Canis lupus familiaris: one gene and its partner. The main gene of each other region encodes a partner of the protein of the gene in region 2 in a complex. Links are inferred from orthologs where the notes say so. Each region holds a gene or a part of one and is shown on either strand. Other genes may lie near its edges. The genes, in order: CACNA1E and CACNA2D1.

Region 1 (4,264 bases), on a different chromosome or scaffold from region 2:
AAAGAAGCAGCAGGTGCTATTGCATGATGCCATAAGCTCCAAAGTTGCTATTTTAGAACAGGCATGAGGAATAATGGTCCAGAAGCAATAATGAGGAGACACCTACCCCAGCTTCAGGCTCAAGAGTGTGAGGAAGTTTGGGAGGGAAGGCGGCTACCATATAAGGCAGCTGCCGATCAAGCCATGCTCTTGGGGGAGATGCACGGTACCAAGGACATGAAGGGAATGTCCGAGAAGGTTAGAAAAACGTAGAGGATTTTTCTGATGATGGAACAAGAGTTCCAGACAGTAAAATATTAGGGTTTGGGAGCTAGCAAGGAGCAGGAAGTGGGTCTGATTAAGGCATGTAGAGCCATATGAGGATGGAGTTTAGATGGGCAAGGAAAAAGGCATGACGTTATTAACCATGGAGGTCTCCATAAGGGCTGCAGTGATAAGGCTGTGAGCATTAAGAGGCAGGCAGTGGGGCAGCATTGTCTCTATCACCTCTCATTTTCTCTTCACCCATTCCAATTGGGGCCTGGCCCCATAATCCTACTGAACTGCAACCTTTAAGGTCACCTCCATATTGCTGAAATCAGTGATCCCTTCTCCATCCTCATTTTATTTGACCTCTCAAAAACCTCTTCTATAGAAGATGACTCCTTCCTTCTGAACAGATACCTTCTCTTTACTTCTTTGTCTCTTCACTCTCTGGCTTTCTCTTTTTTAAGATCTTAATTATTTATTAGAGAGAGAGAGAGAGAGAGAGAGAGCACACCATGAGTGGAGGGAGAGGCAGAGGGAGAAACAACTTTCTGCTGAGCAAGGAGCCAGACATGGGCTCGATCCCAGGACCCTGAAATCATGACCTGAGCCAAAGGCAGATGCTTAACCAACTGAGCCACCCAGGTACCCCACACTATGGCTTTCTTCCTACTTCCCTGGTATCTCCTCCTTAATTCTTCCACAACCACACTCAGGAAAGCTGACAACCCCTCCCCCACCACCCAGCCACTGATGTATCTGCTCTGTTTCACCTCCTCGTGGACCTTCCTAGGTGAAAGCATAGTCTCTCAACCAACCCCACCATGACTCCTAGTAGGTCGCTGCTACTAGACTTTTATACCTCCCAACTAGCAAAAGTTTAACTTAGAGAAAGATAAAGAGTTACGTATGCATTGCTTGTCATGGTGAAGCTAGTTTTTCAGTGAGTGTTGTAGGAATTCTTGAGTTAGGCCATATGACAGGCACTGAGTGACACGAAAAATGTGTAAGATAGTCTCTGGCCTGGAGTTGTTCAGAATCCTCTCAGGAAAACAAGACGGAGGTGCAGAGAAATACAGTACTTCTGAATACAAAGAAATACTATCGGAGCCATGTGATATTCAAATGGACACCTCCTCATTTTTTGAAGCCATGAGGTGACTTATTCAATGTCATACCACTAACTAGATTCAACATCATACCACTATTTAGATCACCCTGGGAATTAGACCCAAATGTCTCAACCTCTAAGCCAGTGCTCTTGTCATGGCATCTCAATTGGTGGTTGAGATAGACTTTAAGTACTGTGAGAATTGGAAAGAAAGGCACTGTGCCATTGTGAATAGAAGCATGGATTCTAGAACCAGACTGCCAGAGTCCAAATCATCAAATCACAGTAACAACATAGTTATTATTGGAATGACTTTGGGAAAGTCACCTATCTTCTCTGTGCCTCACTGGTTAAATCTGGATAATAACTGTATCTACCTCATAACTTCTGTTAAGGATTAACATAAGTTAATATGGGTGCTTAGGATGTTGCCTGGCTTTTAGAGCTATGTAGGATTTTAAAGACTAACAGTACTTGGACACGAACAACAGGAGAGAAGGTTGATTGCCAGATGCCTGACTCCTCTCTGAATCCCAGGAGCCTGGCACACATCAGGGCCCGCTGAATGAATGAATGAATGAATGGATGGATGACGAACCAGTAAACATTGTGACATCCATAGGAAAAGACCTCCAGAGATCAGCTAATCCACCCCACTTTGCACCACCCAGAATGTCTAATGAGGCCAGAGAGGTAAACTCTACCATAACCACCGCCATAAAAAAAACATCTATTATTAGTCTTTTTGCACTTAATGACATCCAACAACTCAACAACCTAAAGACATACAGACCACAAGACATGCAAACATGCAGAACATACACTGACATCCAAAAATATGAAACAAAGCCCCTAGGTGGGGTATACACGTGGAGCACCAAATGAGAATCAGATGCAATATGCTCTTCCTTTAACGTAGGACACTGGAATAAGGCGCAACTTCTCCATAGGCGTGAATTGAGTTAAAGGCAGTCTAAGACAGATTGCTCTACCCTAAAGGATCAGACATAAAGCTATGGGGGCCATGAGCTCTTCCACCACTGAAGACTTGCCCCCAAAATGTAATCATCACCCCAAGGATGACATTAGCAAGCGTACGTTTAGCTACAATTCCAGAATTAAGATGAGGCTGATGATTCGTGTTTTGGTGGCTTCTCCATGGTTTTACAGAACCCCTCTTTCCAGGGAGGCTCAGAGTGTGGAACAGACAGACCACAGCTCCTTCCCCAGGTCTTAGTAAACTACGGATGCTTTGGAGGGGAAGGCGGGTTGCGGCCTTTTGATGGAGGTAGGCCTCAGGGCGGTGGGACGCAGCCTACAGCTGGTTGGCGAGGTCCCGGCTCACCGCAGGGGCCTCGTTCGAGGGGTCAAGCGCCTCTTGAGCGGCAGCAGCGACAAAGGCACCGACCCCCGGGCCACCCTCCCCGCCCCGGGCGCCCGCGGGCCGCCTTCCCGTACTCACTCCCACTCCTTGCGCCGCGCCTGTGGGGTGCTCTGCATCTTGTGCGCCTCGTGGGCCTTGATGATGTCGCGCTGCTCGATGAGGCCCCCGCGCCGCCGCTTCATCACCTCGGGGCTCACCGGGAGGAAGGGGCCGGCGCCGGCGTCCAGGGCCGCACCGCCCTCCCAGCCCGCGCCCTCGCCCTCCTGCACCGGGAAGAAGTTGTCGACGCCGGAGGCGGCGGCGCGCGGGGAGGCCGGCAGCATGCCCACCTCGTCCGAGGCGTCGGCCTCGAGCAGGGAGCACTGCTGGGGCCTCCATGCCTCCTCCTCAGGCAGGGCCAGGACGTGGCGGCGGCGGCCCGCGGCCCAGGGCTCAGGGCTCCCGGCCGCGGCGGGGCAGGGGGCGGGCTCGGGCAGCCTGCGGCCTGGGCTCGGTCCACGCATCTCGGGCACCATCCCAGAACATTGCTCTGCGCGGGGTGGGGGAGGGGAGCACGAGAGAAAGAGAGAAAAGCAAGAGGTTAATGACGTCAAAGCTTGGGGCTGCCCCACAGCTCCGTCCCAGGTCCCAGGTCCCAGGTCCGGCCCAGAAGCTGGCTCACAGCAGGCACCCCGCAAATGATCGCTGAGCTCAGGAGCATCCGCTGTGGACCAGGCTGAGCGCCAAGTGCTGAGTATCCAGAGGTAAGTTAGGTAAAATAGACTTGATTTTTGCCCCATGAACTTCACAGTCCAGTGCAGAAGACAGAGGTTAAACAAATGATTAGATGCAACGTCATGAATGGCCCCGGGTACCGCTACAAGGAGAGGAGAACTCCAAAGGCTATCTTTCTGGGCCCCAGCCGCAGACACCTTAGCTGGCTGTTCTCTCCCAGTTTTCTCCCATTCGGGTGAAAGAATCTTACCCATTCCTCAGTGTCCTGACTCCTCTGGAGAAATGCCACCCACCACCTGCTGCCCTGATTCTCGCACTCTCTCCCCAGGATCAGCCACAGGCTGCCTATCTTTGAGAACTGGGACCCCTGTATAGGCCCCTTCCTCCTTTCCTAATGCATGCATCCAGCGCAGGATCTGGGAAACAAGTGTGGAATCAGGTGCCTCTGCTAGCGTCCTTGAGCCTCATTTCCTTTTCCATGCCAAGGAGGATGTGGCCAGATTTCCCTGTGAAAGACACACTCATTCAGTCAATACTGAGAGCTTACCATGTGCCAGGCACTGTGCCAGGCACGGGGTACACTGCAATGCGCTGGATTCAGTCCACATCCTCCTCATGGGAGAAACAGGAAAAGCATCAGTTCTGACCATGCAACACGATAGGCTGTGATTGAGGTAGGCCCCATTGCTGTGTGAGCTTACAGTAGGGGCACCAAAGCCCATCTGGGAGCTGGAAGGGCTTTGTGGAGGAGATGAGTATTATGCTGCATTTATTTAAGCAGTACTTGCCAGGTGAGGAAAGGGAGCAGA
Region 2 (3,813 bases):
TAAAAATGAGAGAAAATGGACATTCTCTTTTGGGGGGGAAAGAAACAAAAATCCTCCAATTTTACATATTAAAATGAAAGAAAAAAATCTGACCTCTTGAAACACAAAACATCACCAATATAAATAGTAAAACAAAATGAGAATGAATTTTAGAAGAGAAACATGACCATGTTTGACTCATCAGCATGCACGTTACCTCTCCCAAATACTAGAAAATTTAAGTGTTAGTCCTCAATGCAAAATAAGTATGACTGAGTTGCTGAAACTCCTAGAATAAATGTTTGATTTGATATGCTTAAGGAAGTGTGGTACTTATTACTGAAAAATTATCTTATTCTACAGATGAAAATATTAGAAGCCTGAAGAGTCTAAGCATCCTGCCTAAGAGCAGAGTAAATATAGATCAGTGCTGTTGACCAACGTCGTAGAGATGGAAAGGTTTTCTGTTTTGCCCAGCATGGTTAACAGCAGCCTCCTGAGGCTACCAAGCTCCTGAAAGGTGACTAATGGGACTCAGGCATAAAATGTAATATTAATTATAACTGATCATTGAAATAGCTTCTCGGGGCTGTAACTTCTAACCTGGACGACACAGAGACAGGGCTTTGAAGGGCTTTCAATTCCATTGAGTGTTTGTTTTTTTTTCTTCTTCTTCCATGTCTTAAGTGGCTTCTTAAAATAAAAATGTTAGTCTGTCATTAGAGAGTCACTTCTTTATGAGTATACATTTTCCCCAAAAAATTGAATTTCCTTTTTCTCCACTGAACCTGGGGCACAAGGATGAAGTGAATCAAAAGCCACCGTGACTGAGCTTCATATCCTGATTACAAATCGGTACGCTGCAATGTTATTTAGTTTTTAAAGCACAGATTGCTGTTACCGACACCTATTAGTCAAAGGCCAAAGGATTCTGAAGTTTTGAGATACCATCACAGGTGTTACGATTCTGCTCCCTAAAGTTGATAGCCTCATAGTCTAAGTTCTACACAAGATGCAATGCTTTTTCTGAGTTGATGCCTGACTCTTCTCTTCCTACCCCAACCACCTCCTAGGACACAGAGGTGTGCTAAAGTAAATCAGAAAAGTCCTACTGACCGACCATATTGGTTAAAAATTCATGCTAGTTTCAGCTAACTGCTTCTGCAAAACATTTCTCTGTTAGAAATGTCTAGATCGCTTAGCAACTATTCCAGCCCTTTCACATGCTCAGATGACCTTACCTCCTCCTATTTCCTCTTTTCTAAGTTAACACTGCTTCTAGAATAACCTGCCCTCGGTTGCTAGAAACAGTTGTCCCAAATCTGTGCCTCTCTGCTCCATTATCAGGGATCCTGTGACAGGGAGGATCAGTCTCTCTCAAAACTTTAAAAAAATCCCACCTTGCCTTTATCTTCTATCCCCCACAATGAAACTGAATTCTCAATCTCTTTAAAAAACTGTTCAAGATGTTTTATGCCTACTAATAATTTTTAGGAAGTAATATTTTCTCTTAGTTCTTGATTTCTTTTTTTTAATTTTTTTATTTTTTATTTATTTATTTTTTTTATGATAGTCACAGAGAGAGAGAGGCAGAGACACAGGCAGAGGGAGAAGCAGGCTCCATGCACTGGGAGCCCGATGTGGGATTCGATCCCAGGTCTCCAGCATCGCGCCCTGGGCCAAAGGCAGGCACCAAACCGCTGCACCACCCAGGGATCCCTAGTTCTTGATTTCAATTCAGATACATCCAATTGTAAATTTCAGTGAAAGGTTGAAATAAAACTCCTCACCCCCAGAATATCTTTCTTAAACCTATTTAGTAAATAAATGTAAATAGAAATCATATATTTGGCTTAGAATTACATAGAAGTACTATAATTAATTCTAAGTTTATTATAGTTCATAAAATTCTATGACCTTAGCAAAAATTTTTAAGGGATTCTTTTATTTTTTATTTATTTTTTTAAAGATTTATTTATTTATGATAGACCGGGGGGAGCGGGGGGAGAAGCAGAGACGCAGGCAGAGGGAGAAGCAGGCTCCATGCAGGGAGCCCGGACGTGGGACTTGATCCCCGGTCTCCAGGATCACATCCTGGGCCAAAGGGAGGCACTAAACCGCTGAGCCACCCAGGGATCCCCTAAGGGATTCTTTTAGACAAAAATGTATTATATTACCAGATTTCTTTATGTTTTGGCTAAAAGTAGGTACAATTTTCCTGATCCTATTATTGATAGTTGAAAGGATTACAACTTATCCAGACAGGATAAAGTCTAAAAAATGTAAATTTTTAAAGCCTACAGTGAAACTAAAGATCTGGAACAACAATCTCCATTACTCTCTGTAATGATTATAAAAGCGAATCCAATTTCTTAGTGACAAAGGATTCTTCCTAAAAGGAAGACACAGATTACCTGGAGCAGTTTCCACAGTCTAACACACCACTGAATGATTTACTATCATTATCGAAGAAATACTGGGTTTGTTCGGTAATGCAACTCTGCTTTGACAGAGAGGCTGTAAAGTCCTCTTCTTCCATCTCAACTGTGGAAAAAAAAAAAAAAAAAAAGGACGCAGGTCACCAGGAGGGGACACTATAGTCAGTGCCCAGAGCCTTCATTTCTCAGCACACCAAGTGTATAAGGGCAGGCACCCTGTGGGGCTTATTTATCGCTGGGTAATCTAGGGGCAGCCCCTAATAGTGCCCAATAAATATCAAGAGAAAAAAATAAATAGGAGGTTACAAAATAGAGGCCAATGACATTAAAAAAGAAAAAAATTGTCAAAGCATTAGGAAAGTCATGACAAAAAGATTCCAATCTTTGAAACTATTGAATGGATGGGCGCTCTCTCTCTCTCTCTCTCTCTCATATACACAAATACATATACTTTCTCTGAGTTGGATGAACTCAGTACATCCCAAAACAAAATTTTAATTATAAAAACAGCTGAGTGTTCACATACCTGCTTCAAGAAGTCGTGGAAAGGTCAAACTCAGGAGAAACTGCTGTAGAATAGACCTAAGTTGTAAATATGAATAATTATTGATAAAAATATAAATATTTCCTTTATAAGCTGTACAATTAAAAAACTGAATAATTTTGTATGTACACATACATTTCTTTTCATCTGTTTGGAAAAAATTGATAATCTGACAATAGAAAGTTAAGGAGCAGTTTTATTTTATATAATTAGGTCCATTTCAGCACATGATGCTTCTAAATTCAAAACACTGTAGATTTGTTTCTGTGAAAGAAGTGATGAAGTCAGAAATGTTCAGGACCAAGAAAGAGGTGCTTAGGTGTAAAGAGGCCTCATAACAAATGTGATCATGGAGGAGTGGTAATTGTATTTCACAGCATAAGTTTCACATTCAGGATTGCTCCTTGTTTTAGTTTTAAAACTCCAAGGTGGAAAACAACAAAAGATCAAACAAAAACAATTTTGTGCTGTGGGTTTTTAAACTATTTACTTGACAATATAGAATATACTTGTAAATACATAATGTGACATTCATCAACTATAATATACATAGGGCATATGGTACATTTCTGCTTTATAGTAAATGACAATTGAGCCAAATACTATAGAATAGTATAGAATCATCTGGAACTGAACTTAGTTTAAAAGAAAAAAAAAAGTGATGAGAAAGAGGTAGATTCTGGCCAGTAAATAGAATCAAGGCAATCACATATTCAGGATTACTAGGAGATTTAGAAAACCTGAGTCAATTAACACATAAATACCAGTGTCACAACAGAAAGCCCCATTTTTTACATGTTTTTCCCCCAGAAAAAAAAAAATAGGATTTTTAATCTAAAGTCTTTGCTACTT

The links.
Region 1: the proteins of CACNA2D1 (region 2) and CACNA1E are in contact, whole or in part, in a cryo-EM structure (PDB 8EPM), measured with the Homo sapiens proteins. The link is inferred for Canis lupus familiaris from reciprocal best matches to the Homo sapiens genes CACNA2D1 and CACNA1E. Residues at the interface, in NP_001353796.1 of Homo sapiens: Thr170, Asp171, Tyr173, Ile233, Leu235, Ser261, Gly262, Ser263, Ser265, Gly266, Leu267, Lys270, Ala327, Lys328, Gly329, Ile330, Thr331, Glu366, Gln391, Asn393, Tyr394, Ile416, Gly417; in NP_001192222.1 of Homo sapiens: Gln110, Leu112, Pro113, Glu114, Asp115, Asp116, Lys117, Pro119, Arg122, Asn630, Phe631, Asn632, Asp633, Gly634, Ile1330, Gly1331, Asn1332, Val1334, His1336, Met1341, Val1343, Arg1346, Arg1393, Ser1394.

Annotation. Positions count from the first base shown.
Region 1 is NC_049228.1:14,761,214-14,765,477, reverse strand, and holds the start of CACNA1E (voltage-dependent R-type calcium channel subunit alpha-1E), read right to left. Parts: upstream 2,958-4,264; 5' UTR 2,924-2,957; coding exon 2,820-2,923; intron 1-2,819. UniProt on the Homo sapiens protein: Voltage-sensitive calcium channels (VSCC) mediate the entry of calcium ions into excitable cells.
Region 2 is NC_049239.1:21,857,288-21,861,100, forward strand, and holds part of CACNA2D1 (voltage-dependent calcium channel subunit alpha-2/delta-1), read right to left. Parts: intron 3,000-3,813; coding exon 2,944-2,999; intron 2,524-2,943; coding exon 2,394-2,523; intron 1-2,393. UniProt on the Homo sapiens protein: The alpha-2/delta subunit of voltage-dependent calcium channels regulates calcium current density and activation/inactivation kinetics of the calcium channel. Plays an important role in excitation-contraction coupling.